Macaca fascicularis: one gene and its partners. The protein of the gene in region 3 interacts with the protein of the main gene of each other region in a biochemical or structural test. Links are inferred from orthologs where the notes say so. Each region holds a gene or a part of one and is shown on either strand. Other genes may lie near its edges. The genes, in order: FLT3, ERBB4, SYK and ERBB3.

Evidence for each region.
Region 1: of the proteins of SYK (region 3) and FLT3, one has a biochemical effect on the other in vitro, tested with the Homo sapiens proteins (2 studies listed by IntAct, with this or other methods). The link is inferred for Macaca fascicularis from reciprocal best matches to the Homo sapiens genes SYK and FLT3.
Region 2: the proteins of SYK (region 3) and ERBB4 form a complex in vitro, tested with the Homo sapiens proteins (2 studies listed by BioGRID and IntAct, with this or other methods). The link is inferred for Macaca fascicularis from reciprocal best matches to the Homo sapiens genes SYK and ERBB4.
Region 4: the proteins of SYK (region 3) and ERBB3 form a complex in vitro, tested with the Homo sapiens proteins (2 studies listed by BioGRID and IntAct, with this or other methods). The link is inferred for Macaca fascicularis from reciprocal best matches to the Homo sapiens genes SYK and ERBB3.

The regions. Positions count from the first base shown.
Region 1 is NC_088391.1:8,024,611-8,028,748, forward strand, and holds the start of FLT3 (receptor-type tyrosine-protein kinase FLT3), read right to left. Parts: upstream 2,835-4,138; 5' UTR 2,753-2,834; coding exon 2,710-2,752; intron 1-2,709. UniProt on the Homo sapiens protein: Tyrosine-protein kinase that acts as a cell-surface receptor for the cytokine FLT3LG and regulates differentiation, proliferation and survival of hematopoietic progenitor cells and of dendritic cells.
Region 2 is NC_088386.1:108,380,041-108,384,288, reverse strand, and holds the start of ERBB4 (receptor tyrosine-protein kinase erbB-4), read left to right. Parts: upstream 1-1,422; 5' UTR 1,423-2,042; coding exon 2,043-2,124; intron 2,125-4,248. UniProt on the Homo sapiens protein: Tyrosine-protein kinase that plays an essential role as cell surface receptor for neuregulins and EGF family members and regulates development of the heart, the central nervous system and the mammary gland, gene transcription, cell proliferation, differentiation, migration and apoptosis.
Region 3 is NC_088389.1:121,173,283-121,176,846, forward strand, and holds part of SYK (tyrosine-protein kinase SYK), read left to right. Parts: intron 1-2,075; coding exon 2,076-2,285; intron 2,286-3,258; coding exon 3,259-3,448; intron 3,449-3,564. UniProt on the Homo sapiens protein: Non-receptor tyrosine kinase which mediates signal transduction downstream of a variety of transmembrane receptors including classical immunoreceptors like the B-cell receptor (BCR).
Region 4 is NC_088385.1:62,883,399-62,886,496, reverse strand, and holds part of ERBB3 (receptor tyrosine-protein kinase erbB-3), read right to left. Parts: intron 2,880-3,098; coding exon 2,724-2,879; intron 2,483-2,723; coding exon 2,407-2,482; intron 2,224-2,406; coding exon 2,077-2,223; intron 1,331-2,076; coding exon 1,233-1,330; intron 1,141-1,232; coding exon 949-1,140; intron 805-948; coding exon 733-804; intron 1-732. UniProt on the Homo sapiens protein: Tyrosine-protein kinase that plays an essential role as cell surface receptor for neuregulins.

The DNA of each region.
Region 1 (4,138 bases), on a different chromosome or scaffold from region 3:
GCAAATAAAGGAAGATAAGCAACAAGGGAAAAGGATGGCAACTCAAATGTGCAGTTCAAGGCTTTGAATACGAATTTTTTTTAACACTAATGAAAAAGGTAGTACACAGCTCTTAAAATATTGAAATACTTCTCTCTGTCCAATATCAGCACATAATGCAGAAAAGCCCATTGGGAACATGTTCCTCTCCTTTAAATGCCACTTGGAAAGCTTCTTCATTATTCATAAATGATAAATAAAAGACCGGGCGTGGCCAGGCATGGTGGCTCACACCTGTAATCCCAGAACTTTGGGAGGCTGAGGCAGGTGGATTGCTTGAGGTCAGTTCGAGACGAGCCTGGCCAACATGGTGAAACCTCGTCTCTACTAAAAATATAAAAATTAGCTGGGTGTGGTGGCACGCACCTGTAATCCCAGCTACTCAGGAGGCTGAGGCAGGAGAATTGCTTGAACCTGGGAGGTGGAGGTTGCAGTGAGCTGAGATCACACCACCGCACTCCAGCCTGGGTGACAGAGCGACACTCAGTCTCAAAAAAAAAAAAAGTAGTGTTTACAATATAAGGGAAATTGGGATCTCATGTTCTAATTCAAGGAATTTAAGGCTATTAACCATTTTAAAGGTCTCATGTTTAAGCTTCTCACTTTATCTTTCTTTATTCAAGAAAATCCATAATAGCAAGTGTTGACAAAAATGTGAGGAACTGGAACTGCCATACACTCTAGTGGGAGTGGAAATTGGTATAACCACTGTGGAAAACTGTTTGACAGTATCTATCAAAACTGAACATATCCCTTCCCTATGATCCAGGAATTCTACGTGTGGGCATAATCCTTTATATATGGTGTTTATGTCCACCATACATAAAACAATGTTCACAGCAGTGCTATGCATAATTACACAAAATTGGAACAACTTCCATGTGCTTCAAGAACAGAATGGATAAAATAAATTATAACATCTATTCATACCATGAAATGGTACTGGCAATTAAAAAAAAAAAACAAAACACACTGCTACAGAGAACAAGGTTGAATCTTATTATTATAATGTTGAGTAAAAGAAACTGGACATAAAACAGCACTGGTGATGGTTTGCTTCACATGAAGTTCAAACACAGGCAAAAGTAACCTATGGCATCAGAAGTCAGAATAGAGGCTACCTGGGGAGGGAGCACTGACAGAGAGGTTGGAGCTAGAATTACTTTATATTTCAGTCTGATCGTGGTTATTTGGGCACACACATATATGAAAACTAATGAAATTGTACTCTTAATATTTGTGCATATTTACTGTGTGCCAATTATACTTCATTTAGAAATATCTGGAGAGAGATATAGAAATTTCTGAATTCTTTCCTAAATATAAAAGAATTCAATACAGCTTAAATATAGTTGCAAGTATTGACGCTTATACCTTTAGAAAGCCCATTATGCTTCTGAAAAATGCACTTACTACTTAATATCATACATAATAGAAAGCTAACATTTTGTATTAATGGAATCTGAAAAACACATTGTACTATACATTTGAAATTACAGATTTACTAACTAGTAAAGATAAATGTTTGAGAACTAAACTACAATGTTTAAGAACTAAAATTTTAAAATGTTTGTTTTTCCACTTTTTTCCCTTGATTTACATTTTTTACTTTTTATATTTCATAATTATTTGTAGCAAAAGCTATTGGATATAATTCCTGCACTTCTATATTGCAAGTATTTTCTCTATTTACCACAGACTTCAAGTCTTAGCATTTCAGAGCTGAAGGGGACACGCACGGACTCCCTCACTGCACAGATGAGGACGCGGAGGCCGGGGGAGGTGAGTGTCAGTCCCAAGGTTGCAGACCTAGGACAGGGACCAGAGCTCCCGGGCTCCCAGAACTCTGTCGCCTTCAACCCAAATTCGATTCAGTCCTCTCATCCTTCCAAATAGAAAGCTGACACGAACCGATCGGAAGCTTTTTTTTTTTTTTTTTCAATAACTATGCTACCCAGCAGATTCTCTGGGGAGAGTCCTCAGAGTCCTTGAAAACCCCACTGGGGTTTAATGCCAGGATAAGAAGAGCGTAGAAGAAAGAGACAGCTAGTATTTTAATATATAAATCTGTTTGCATAATATTTCCTAGGTAAACTATTCGCTGATCCAACCAAAATTCGGCGGGGCTGGGGTGTATCGTTATTGAGGACGACTCGCTCTAGGGGAGAACCCGGACGCATTTTTCCATCAGAGTTCCCTCTATAAATCAAAACCTCAAAAGAAGAGTTAACGACGACACCCAGGAGTCTACAGTATCCAGGGGTCGGTCCAGAAGAGGTCCCTGGCCACCTGGCGCAGAGCTCGCGGCCGCAGACTCCCATTGACGGCCCAGCACCGGAGCGCGCGGGCCGAGCTGCCCCAGACCCGGCGCAGCGCCTCGGGGAGGCCGTCTGCAAAGTCCGGGCCGCCACTCGGGACCGCGGACCGGGCCAGAGGAGAGACGTCGGAGAAGAGGGAAGAGGACGCGGGGTGGGAAAAGCCGGGGCCGCGGGCAAGTAGTGGGCGAGTCCGGAGGGCGCGAAAGAGGGGAGGGGCGCGGGAGGCAATGGAAGGAGCGAGCGCGGGGAGGAGCGAGGCGGCTGGGCCGGAGGAGGCGCGCGCCCGGGTCCACAGTGCGGGGTGGGGGCTGAGGGGCCGCGAGGGGCTGCGAGCGGGCTAGCGGGGCCTTACCGAGCAGCGGCAGCCGGCCGCCGCCGCGCGCCAACGCCGGCATGGCCTCCGGAGCCCGGGGTCCCCAGGCCGCGCCGGCCCAGCCCTGCGATGCCGCCTGGAGCGGCGCGCCCCGCGCTGCAGGTGGCTCTCTTAAGGATGCGCGTCACCGACCGCAAATTCCCTCGGACTGGTGCAAAGTGGAAGGGGGGAGGAACCCTCTCCCCAGAGGCAGGGGCCGAGCCGAGCAGCCGGTGCCTGGCGCAGCGCTGCAGCCGAGCCCACGTGCCCGCCGCGGTCCGCAGCCTGCGCTTGGCGGCCCCCGGGGCTCCCCGACTGCGGCGGGGAAGATTGGGCGCGGTCCCGCTGGAGAAGTTGCACGGGCTCCGCGGCTCTGCCTCCTTGCTGCCCCTGTGAGTCCCCGAACTCTGTCGTTTGGATCCGGGGCGTGGGGACTGCAGGGAGCCACAAACCACCCTTCTAGCGCTCTGGGATCTTTGAGGCCCTGAGAAGGGCGCTGAATCCGCGCGGCACGCTGGCGACTCCGGCCAGCGCACAGGCGAGCATGGGGTCTCATTCCATTCCCCCTGGATCTTAATTGTGGACTGATTTCCTTTGTCTCTCCCTCCATCTCCTAGGATGCCCAGGACCCAGTCAGCGGCGGGAGCAAGAAAAACAGGCGGGGTTTCAATGTCAACCAAGGCATAGGGAGGTTAACAAACACCCCTGAAAACAAAACACACAGAAAATACATCCCAGAGGATGTTGCGAATCATCCGCTCAATGGTTCTTCTTCTTCGCATAATTTTTCGAGTTGAAAATTATTATTATTTTCCTGCAATAAGTTGAAGATTGGAAAGCTCTGGATGCCAATTCTGGTTCTTCCCTTACTTAACTGGCCGTTTGACCTCCACAAACCTGTTTACTCATCGTAAAGGAAAGGGGTAGACCAAATGGTTTATAATGTCTCTCCCAATTCTAGGAATTCCATGCTCTTAATTATTTTAATCATTTTCTAATAAAGCATGAAAATTGTTTACTCTTGGCCATACAGTTATTTTCCTTAGATGTTGTTTACAGCACAATAATTCTTTCCCCCAGGACATGGCCGAAACTTTAGAAGTGTCTACTGTGGTGCAGCCACTATAGGAAACACTATAGAGGTTTCTCGAAAAATTAAAAAAAAAATATGGTCCAGCAATTCCATTTCTGGTCATGTAGCCAAAAGAATTGAAAGCAGGGTTTTGAAGAGATGTCTGTACACCCATGTTTAAAGCAGCATTATTCACAGTAGCCAAAAGGTAGAAGCAACCCATGTCCACAACAGATGAATGATGAACAAAAATGCAGTATATACATACGACTATTTTCCAGCTTCAAAAAGGAGGGAAATTCTGATACATGCTAAAATATGGATGAATCTTGACGACATTATGCTAAGTGAAATAAG
Region 2 (4,248 bases), on a different chromosome or scaffold from region 3:
CTAAAACCGCATGCTCAGCTTGTTTGGCGTCTTCATGGAGCCTGTTATTTGCTGTGGGTCTAAGAAAGGGAAAGCTTCAGGCTTCAGGCATCTGTATTTCCTATCTGTTCTCAGCTCCATGGAAATTCTTAAGGGATGGAGCTATAGATAAGAGAGTGGGAAATGGAGATCCAGGTCTCAAATGAAAGGCAGGGTGGTTTGATTTTTAAGCTCCCCTGATACTTTTTATTTATATATTTGCTGCTTCTAGAAAAACCAAAAAAGGAAAGTGATTCATACATAGAATGCCTGTACAAATAGTAACTAATAACTTACTACCCCCAGGAGATTCTGGTCCTTGCCAGGGTGCGGTTTCAGAGCTGTAAAAGGCAAGGGATATGAACATTGATATGACCCAGTCCCAGAATATTTTAGATTCAGAAAAGGTCAGAGATTTTCATAACTAGCAATGACCTCCGGATTAGGGACCATGAATGTGCAGAGTGAGGACAAGGAAAGGGCCTAAAGCTGGGTCTACTGTAGAAGAAGCAGAATCATTTAAGGTTAATTATGTTCTGATGTGGCCTCCTTAAATACTTTCAGGTTGAGACAATTTCTAGCCCTTTAAGATTAAATCAGTGGCTTTGGACTAGAATCTGCTTAATAAGAATGAACTCCAAAGGTGAAAAAAACATAAAATCTAAAAATCAAAGGGTATGGCTTTATAAATGTGAAATTTTAGTTTGGCTCAATGTCGGTCAGTTTGGAAATGTGGGAATAACCGGAGAGATGGCATAACTGGGGGCGGGAGGCGGGGCGGTGATTATATCCCTACCACCACCTAATCCTCAGGGGCTACTAGTTACTTACTGTGCACACTTTTAAAGTACTTTCTAATTGTGGACCATGAGTGGCAGAGTGCTGCGGGCGGAGGCTTTTTGCTGAAAGCAACATTGACTTTTCTTTTATTTCTAGGGAAAGTCCTGTCTGTAGATAAGCACCGTGGGACAATGGAGAAAATGCTGACTTGTTTTTTAAAAAAATCTTTTCTGTAAGCGCCCCTCCGATGGTCTGTCCACTCTGCGGGCCAGCTGTCCCAGGCCTCTGCCAGGGAGGGAAGAGGAGTGCTTCAGTGCATGGCTTCGGTGAGCCCTTTAAATCCAGCTTCCCCTGCCCCCACCAAGCGGCTCCCTCTCCCTGACAGGTGTTTTCCCAACTCCGGAGGCCTAGGATTTTGGGGAGTGGCTGAGCCAATGAGATTTCCCTTTGGGGCGGGGGGCGGGGGAGAAGGGCGTGGCTAGTTGGGTCAGAGCATGGGCGGGGTTTGCGCGGCTGAGCAGAGCCTGCCTGGTTGCGTGGAGGGTTGTTTTATTCCCACCGCCCCCCCCACCTTTTTTTTTTTTTCTTTTTTTTTTTTTTTTCTGGAGTCTTATTAATTTCTCTGTGGGCTGCAGCTGGAGACCGCGGAGCGTTGGAAATGACGCTCGGAGCTTTAATTACCGCAGCCGCCGGACAAGTGTGAGGAAAGCTGACAGGAAAAAGAAGGACGGGATCCGGGGAGAAGCGAGAAGCTCCCCCCGCCCCGCTCCCCTCCCCATTTGGACTGGAGGTGCAAGGAAACTGAAGAAGGAGCAGAACACAGCCCGGCTGCGGGGAGAGGCCGGAAACCTACCGCCTCTTTGCAATCAACTTTTTTTGGAAACCTTTCGCCCCCCTTCCTTTTTTATTGTTGACCAACCAGTGAGAGAGAGAGAAAGTGAGGAGGCAGCGAGCAAGCGAAGGCTCACGCGGGGAAATAACTGCACAGTTCGGCCCGGACCGCCACGCGCACACACCGAGCACACTCCAACACACGCACACTCGCCCCCTCTTCGGGCCCCGGCCCTGGACCCGCGGGCGCGGACTCGGCCGCCCGCCCTGGGAGTCGCTACACCGCGCGCGCCGCGCCCGCCCCCCTCGCGCCCCCACGCGCGCCCGGCTGGGGGATCTCCTCCGCGTGCCCGAAAGGGGGATATGCCATTTGGACATGTAATTGTCAGCACGGGATCTGAGACTTCCAAAAAATGAAGCCGGCGACAGGACTTTGGGTCTGGGTGAGCCTTCTCGTGGCGGCGGGGACCGTCCAGCCCAGCGATTCTCAGTCAGGTGGGTTCCTTCTGGCGCTCCGGTCGCCGAACCTGCCGCCGCCGGCGGGGCTGCCTTGAGTGGCTCCCCCGCCCTCTTCACCCATCCCGGGAGGCGTGGAGGGACCGCTCGACCGGGACTTCTTCCCTGGGCTCTCGGTCGCCCCTCTTTCCATTTGAAACTTACCCTGTATGTGTGCCTGTGCTTTATCGTGAAGAAATCACTCTGAGCCCCTCTTTTTTCTCTCCTTAACCCCCTGTTTTTCTTTCCCGAGCGTTTTGTGTGGGAGCCTAAGCGGGATCCCTTCTGGTGGCGCCTGTTGTTCGGGACATGGGAGACCCAAATCCCCAGTCAGAGGAGACTCTCCTGTCCCTGTCTGGTCCCTCGAGGGAGGAACCCGCACCGCCGGGGCCGCGGAGGGCCGGGGTCCTGGGGAGGTGCTGGCTGGGCCTCTCCCGCGCCAAGCCTGAAGGGCGGTGGAGAGTGGCGCTCAGAGACCCGGGCTTTGCACCTGTGTGTGCTGCCGGCGGCCGCTGCGCCCCCAGTCGCCCAAGCCTTGTGGGGTCAGACGCGACTCGTACCCAGCCCGGGCAGCAAGAGTGCAGCGGGCGGGCGCGCCTCGGTCCGGGGTCTGGAGCTCTGGGCCTCTTCGGCCGGCTTCCCGGAGCCCTCGCCCCATTGACTTGAGGGGCGCTTGCTCGCCTGCATGACCTCTTAAAAAAAAAAAAAAATGGCTTGGCACACTCGAGCCAGAAGCCGGGCCTTCCCGTCGGTTGCCGTGTTTGGCTCCTGGAAGAGTTCTTCCTGTAGTTCAACTTGCTATTGGCCGGAGTCCTTCAAACTTGTCTGTTTACTGCCTGGCCGGGCTGCCGAGCCTGCGGGTCACTGGATCCACCCGAGGCGCAAGCGGCGGCGGCGGGTGCGCGGCCACTGCTTGCTGGAGAGCTCGAGCCCCAGGTACCTGGGCAGGCAAAGGGCTAACTGACCCCGAGAGGCAGCGCGGCGGGGTTGGAGCGCCAAGGCTTGCAGGACTAATGACAGCACCTGCAGTGCAAGGAAGCTCAAAGTTTCTGACACTTGAGTTTCCTGGGGATGAAAGTGGGACGGGAGAGGTCTGAGGAGGACCGGTGTCTGATGCGGCCAAGGGGTGCCTTTTGGAGAGCCAGGGAGATTTCTGAAACCATTCGGGGATGGTGACTGGAGCGTGGGAAGTAGCTTGAGGTGATAAAGCCCCCGGGAGTGGCGATAGGGAGCGCTTTAGGCCCCCGGAGGGTGTCCTTCTGACCTCACCAAGGAAACAGCAAGCTGTAGTTTTCCCGCTCCGCCCCCGCCGCCGCCGCCTCCTTTGCCTAGTAAACAACAAGTTACAATCATCGAGGCTTTCAAAATGACCTTCGAATGGCACATGTGCGGCGTTTTGTGCTGGCTGTTTGCACCCTCCCAATTACTCCGAAATTCTTCACGCATACCAGGTCCCGCGCTCCAGCCACCCCCGGAATCACACCAACACGGACTTGACATTCCAAGCGGCCTCTTAGATACATCTCTTTTTATCTCCCTCCCCACTTCGAGTCCCTTCATATTTTCCCTCAATGGGTTGATTATACACATTGACCCATTCAAAGGCAGTGGCGACCGACATGCAGGCTTAGCCGAGAGGAATTTCTACGAGGCGACCTACTGGGGGCTGGCTGGTTCAGCCTCTGCCGCTGAGGGACCCCGCTCCGAGTCCGCAGCAATTTGGTATTAACTGTGCGGCTCCGGGTTGAGCTATGCCGAAAAGCCCTTTTCAGAATTTCTGCAAGGAATGTAATCCAAATTAGTTCTGCAGCTGTCCTCTTCCTCGTCTCAGGCGACACCAGCTCGCGCCCTCGCTCATCTCTTCTCGTTTCGTTGGGCGAATTGTCAGACCCACAAGTGAGCCCATTTAGAGCGCGAGGATTAGCGTGCCATTGTTCCGTGTGTGACTCTGTACTTGAAATTCTGGGGGCACAAAGGCGAGTCTCACTTGTTCAAAACACAAAGTGATCCAGATGAAAGGGCCGTACAAAGAAAAACTCTCGGGTGCATCCCTGGTATAATTGCAACACGCATACTAAGGTGATCCAATGGAAACTGTAAATGCCCCGGGGACTTCTTTCTTCA
Region 3 (3,564 bases):
AATATGATTAGTATAATTATTTATTGGCTTTATCCTATGATTTCAAATAACAATACATATTATACAACAGTTAAAATTGCTAAATTTCTAAAATATCTTTGGTTTTTTTTTTTTTTTGGTCTTTAGAAAGTATCCAACATGGAATGTACAAGTAAAAATACTGGTTTCTAAAGTCCTTTGAAACACACCCTCTCTTTGAATTGGTATGATACTAATATGAATGTGGTTGGATTTAGTAGCTTCATGGTATTTCAAATTTAAGGAATTTTTGTAAAAAAAAAATGTATGAGTAGGTAATTTATATGATTCAAGTAGGTTAAAAATATAGACAAAAGTATACACAGACATACATGCTTTTCGGCCAGGTGCCGTGGCTCACACCTGTAATCCCAGCACGTTAGGAGTCCAAGGCAGGTGGATCACCTGAGGTCTGGAGTTCGAAACCAGCCTGACCAACATGGTAGAACCTTGTCTCTACTAAAAATACAAAAAATTAGCTGGGTGTGGTGGTGCACACCTGTAGTCCCAACTACTCAGGAGGCTGAGACAGGAGAATCACTGGAACCTGGAGGAAGAGGTTGCAGTGAGGCAAGATCACACTGTTGTACTCCAGCCTGGGCAACAAGAGTAAAACTCTGTCGAAAGGGAGGAAGGAAGGAAGGAAGAGATGAAGGGAAGGAAGGGAAGGAAGGAAGGAAGGAGAGAGAAAGAAAAGAGGGAGGAAGGGAGGGAAGGAGGGAAGGAGGGAAGGAAGGAAGGAAGGAAGGAAGGAAGGAAGGAAGGAAGGAAGGAAGGAAGGAAGGAGAAATGCTTGCTTTCCAATCTGTCCCTTCCATTTGTTTTTGTGCATGTGCATCTCTGTGTATAAACATATATACATATATACACACACAGATACACATACATGTATATACGTATACACACACAAACATACACACCCATGTATACATTCACAAGTATATACATAAGCACATGTATACACACAATCAAAATTGGTTGTGATACTTATTTTAAAATATATTTGTATATCACCGTCATTTTGTACAATGAACAAAAATGTTTCTGTGTTAATCATAAGCTTTTTCAGTTTGTGAAAGGTTGTGATCTTTATTCTCTGCTTAAATTTGTGAATTAACATAGACATGACGGTGGACATAATTTCAACTAGAGAGTTTGGGGAGAGGAGAGGCTCTCTCGGTCAATTTTGCAAAAGTATGTCTTTACAATACTGAGTCTTTCAATCTATAAACACAGCCCATCCCCGCATTTACTAGGTCTTCTTCAGCCTCTCTCAGGAGAGTTGTTTACCTCTTCAAAGCATTACATTTAAATGTATCCTTTTAAATTCTGCACCTAGAAATTCACTTTCAGCGTTTATGAAAGGCATTTTATATTCACATTCATTACACGTAATCTGAGATGGTGAATCCCAAGATGTTACAGGAATTTGTGCATGTCATCGTTGGTGAGGTTTATTTACAAGTTATTTAAATATTTTACAGTTTAGGGTTTTTGCTTGGTTGGGACGTTCTTCAGTACTGTTCTTCACCATTCTTTTTATTTTATTTTATTTTTTAGAAACAGGGTTTCCCTCTGTCATCCAGTCTAGAGTGAAGTGGCAAGAAACTCACTGCAGCCTTGAACTCCTGAGTCCAAGTGATTCTCCCACCTCAGCCTCCTAAGCAGCTGGGACTACAGGCTTGCACTGTCACGTCTAGCTGATTTTTTTTAGAGATGGGGTTTCACTATGTTGCCCAGGCTGATCTTGAACTTCTGGCCTCAAGCAATCCTCCCCCTTCAACCTCCCAAAGTGTTGGGATTATCAGCATAAGCCACCATGCCCAGCCCCCACCATTCTTTTTTAGTAATGGGGCATTACTCTCATTGTCTGTAAAATTAGGGAATATAGGTTGGAAGGCCAGCCATCCATTACAGGCTTCTGAAGACACATTGTCACTCTGTGGCAGGTATTTCCATGGGACTGGTTCCACGCGGGGATTATGCTTCACAGGAGAAGATTATCTAGAAGCCAGGCGTTTCAGAAAGTTTCTTGTGTGTTATGATTTCTCTTGCAGAGTTGTGAAAACAGTGGCTGTGAAAATTCTGAAAAACGAGGCCAATGACCCCGCTCTTAAAGACGAGTTATTAGCAGAAGCAAATGTCATGCAGCAGCTGGACAACCCGTACATCGTGCGCATGATCGGGATATGCGAGGCCGAGTCCTGGATGCTGGTTATGGAGATGGCAGAACTTGGTCCCCTCAATAAGTATTTGCAGCAGAACAGGTATTGTCAGGTGCCCCCACAGGTCTGGAAGCTCTCCCCTAAGGGACAGGGCCCACCACTGGATGGGCTGAGCAGCCTGATTTCCGTGGAAGCCTTCCCACCCTCCTGTGCCTTCCCTTATTGGTCCATACTCAGGGACCTTGACAGAGGGAAAAAGGGAGACTCAGTCTTTGGATTCAGCTCTGTTAGCTCTAGTTGTTCAGAGAAGAACTCATTCGACAGTTTTGTCTTTCTTTTCTTTCTGTACTCATTCAGTCTTGGCCTAGTGATAGACTCAGCCTCAGAATATCTTGACAGGGAATCTCCTTTCTCACTGGGAAGAACACATTCTTTTTAAAGAAACATTTAAAATAAGTGCTTTTCTAAGAGGTGACAGTTATGTTTTATCTGGCTGACCTTATGTCCTCATGAATAATGACTTCTGAAAATATCAGTCGCTGCTAATTGATTACATCCATCAAGGGAGTAATCGTGTTCTCATCTAAAGCTGTTGTTGAGATGAGGAAACTCACTTGGCGTAAGACAGAATGATGGCTACTGAGGAGCTTGCTTTGTTTGCTGTGCTATGTTTGTACTTAGGTTGTCTCTTTAGTCTCCATGGAAGGGAGGTGTTCTTACCCTTTATAGGTGAGAAACTGAGACTCAGGGTTAGTTCTGTGACCTGTGCAATACTGGAACAAGGATTTAAGGTGGTGCCTGGCTGTCTGTGAACCAGGCCTCACCACTCTGTTATACTGCTTGTCTTGCAATTCCAAGCATGCCAGGAAACTCAATCCCATTGAACACCAGGAGAATATGGCATTCAGTCCTGAAGAGTTATATGCTAACAAAGTTATTTGTCACCACTTGTGAGTTTTGTTGTTTAAGAAGAGGGAAGGAGTAGATTCACCTACTGCCTGCATGAGGAGCATGGTTGTTTGTTGTGAAATGGGTCACTGTCGGTTATAGCTGATGAGATCGTTGTGACTTTCAGACATGTCAAGGATAAGAACATCATAGAACTGGTTCATCAGGTTTCCATGGGCATGAAGTATCTGGAGGAGTGCAATTTTGTGCACAGAGATCTGGCCGCAAGAAATGTGTTGCTAGTTACTCAACATTATGCCAAGATCAGTGATTTCGGACTTTCCAAAGCACTGCGTGCTGATGAAAACTACTACAAGGTAAGTACAACTTAGCTAATATTCAGAGCAGCTGGTGGTAAAAAATGCAAGATAAATGTATGTTTTCTTTATTTTACTATTGGTATGGTTTTAAAAAGCAATTTTGCTACTTAAAA
Region 4 (3,098 bases), on a different chromosome or scaffold from region 3:
TTGTTCCCTGCCTTTTTTTTTTTTTTTTTTTTTTGAGGTGGAGTCTTATTCTTGTCGCCCAGGCTGGAGTGCAGTGGCATGATTTTGGCTCACTGCAGTCTCCGCTTCCCTGTTCAAGTGATTCTCCTGCCTCAGCCTCCTGAGTAGCTGGGATTGCAGGCACCTGCCACCGTGTGCAGCTAGTTTTTGTATTTTTAGTAGAGACAGGGTTTTGCCATGGTGGCCAGGCTGGTCTCGAACTCCTGACCTCATGATCTGCCCACCTCAGCCTCCCAAAGTGCTGGGATTACAGGCGTGAGCCACCGGACCTGGCCTTTTTTTTTTTTTTTTTTTAAGAGACAGGGTCTTGCTGTGTCACCCAGGCTGGAGTGCAGTGGTACCATCTCAGCTCACTGCAACCTCTGCCTCCCGGGTTCAAGCGATTCTCCTGTCTCAGCCTCCTGAGTAGTTGGGATTACAGTTGTGCACCACCACACCCAGCTAGTTTTTTGTATTTTGGGTAGAGATGGGGTTTCACCATGTTGGCCAGGCTGGTCTCAAACTCCTAACCTCAGGTGATCCACTCTCTCTGGCCTCCCAAAGTACTGGGATTACAGGCGTGAGCCACCTCGCCCGGCCCTCGCTGCCTTCTTTTTTGCAGGACACTGATTAAACCTCAAAGGTTTCTAATGTCTTCCACACTACTCCTATCAATCTGATCCTAAAACCCAGCCTCTCAGCATCAGAACTTACCTGGCAAGCCTCCCCAAGATTACCCTGGTTCATGGGCATGTATCCAGATGATGGACTTAAAAGGCTCTGGCTCTAGGAGGAAAAAATAAGGAAAAGGTTAAGATGAAGGGAGAAATCTATATTCACCATGGGGGCCTTTAAGTAGTTAATCTGGGTATCTGTAGGGTTTGTGAGGGCTTAGGGTGCAAAGTGTTGGGTAATTAGAAGGTGTCTTACCCCACGTGGCCGATTAAGTGTTCCAACTGGTAGGCTGAGGGCGGAGCCCAGTGTGGTGGTTGCCAGGTTGTCCTCCTCTGCTTCCAAGTCTAAGTCTAGGTCTAGTTCTGGCTCCAGCTCTACTTCCTCTAGCTTCTTGTTTGTCAGACCATGGGGCTCTGGCCCAGGGGCTATTCCAGGCCCACTCTCTCTCTATATCGATAAGTGATTGTTAGGGGGAATCCTGGTTCCAGCCAACTCCTCCTTTTTCTAAATTTCCTTAGTATCTCCTACTCCCTGCTCACCTTTATGACCAGATACCGTGGTGGGTCTCGGGCCATCCTGGTGAACTCATTGGCTAGTTCTTTAAAGGTTGGGCGAATGTTCTCATCAATCATCCAACCTAGAGATAAGATGTAGGAGGTAGAGACATAAAACGGAATATATCCATGGCCGGGCGTGGTGGCTCACACCTATAATCCCAGCACTTTGGGAGGCCGAGGCGGGTGAATCACCTGAGGTTGGGACTTTGAGACCAGCCTGGCCAACATAGTGAAACCCCGTCTCTACTAAAAAGACAAAAAAAATTAGCTGGGCATGGTGGTGCATGCCTAAAGTCCCAGCTATTTGGGAGGCTGAGACAGGAGAACTGCTTAAACCTGGAATGTGGAGGTCACAGTGAGCCAAGGTCACGCCACTGCACTCCAGTATGGGCGACAGAGTGAGACTCCATTAAAAAAAAAAAAAAAAAAAAAGGGAATAGAGCCACAAGAGGAGTACAGAGGGAAGTCAGAAAATGGCCGCGGTCAGGCCGGGCACGATGGCTCACACCTGTAATCCCAGCACTTTGGGAAGCTGAGGCGGGCAGATCACCTGAGGTCAGCAGTTTGAGACCAGCCTGGCCAACATGGTGAAACCCCTTCTCTACTAAATATAAAACAATTAGCCAGGTGTGGTGGTAGCCGCCTATAATCCCAGCTACTCCAGAGGCTGAAGCAGGAGAATCGCTTGAACCCGAGAGGCAGAGGTTGTAGTGAGCCGAGATTGCACCATTGCATTCCAGCCTGGGTGATAAGAGTGAGACTCCATCTCAAAAAAAAAAAAAAAGAAAAAAAGAAAGAAAATGGTTGGGCTCCGCTGGTAACTCACACTTGACCATCACCATGTAGACATCAATTGTGCAGATCTGGGGCTGTGCCAACCGCTCCCCCTTCTCTAGCAGGTCTGGTACTTCAGCCAGTCGCAGCCCTGCATAGGGCTCTGCCCCAAAGGTCATCAACTCCCAAACTGTCACACCTGGTGCAGGAAGAAATGGACTAGTCACTGGCAAAATAGTAGACATGGGCATGAAGTGAAGGGAAGGCAGAACCTGATCTGACATAAAAATCTGAAGTGCTTAGAGATTCTAAGAGGGGGTCTCAAAAGGCAAATTTGAAATTGGGGCCAGTGATGGTAGAGAGGGCATCCAGATGCACTGACCATAGCTCCAGACATCACTCTGGTGTGTGTATTTCCCAAAGTGGATACTCTCGAGGGCCATCCACTTAATTGGAGTCTGCAGATTAAAGAAAGAGGTATCACAAGTTTATTTCCACACATTTTCTTAGCATTTCCAAGTCCCAAGTTCTTGATCATTCTTTTCTTTGTTGTTCTCTGAACTAAAATATCTGGCATCTGCAGCCTCCTCTCCTTGAACTTACCATGAAGCATCTGCTTGCCTCCGGAAGAGACCACTGGCTGCTCCCTATCCCCACGCTTCACTCACCCCCACCTCCTTATCCTTTGTGTCACCTCACCTTGGCCTCACTGTATAGCAGCTGCTTATCATCAGGAGGCAGCAGGTCAGCCACACCAAAATCTGCCACCTGAACCTGACTGGGTGACTTGAGTAGCACATTTCGGGCAGCCAGGTTTCTATGCACCATACCATGTTCTTCAAGGTAGTACATACCCTGTAGGTAGAGGGGAAGAAAGTATTCTTAAGGTTAGGGGAATCAGTCACTGAGATCTGGAATTCTCCCAAACTTAAATCTACCTCTCAGCAGCAGTCCCCAACCTTTTTTGGCACCAGGGACCGGTTTTGTGGAAGACAGTTTTTCCCGGGGAAAGGGAGGGTTGGTTTTGGAATGAAACTGTTCCACCTCAGATCATGAGGCATTAGTTAGATTCTC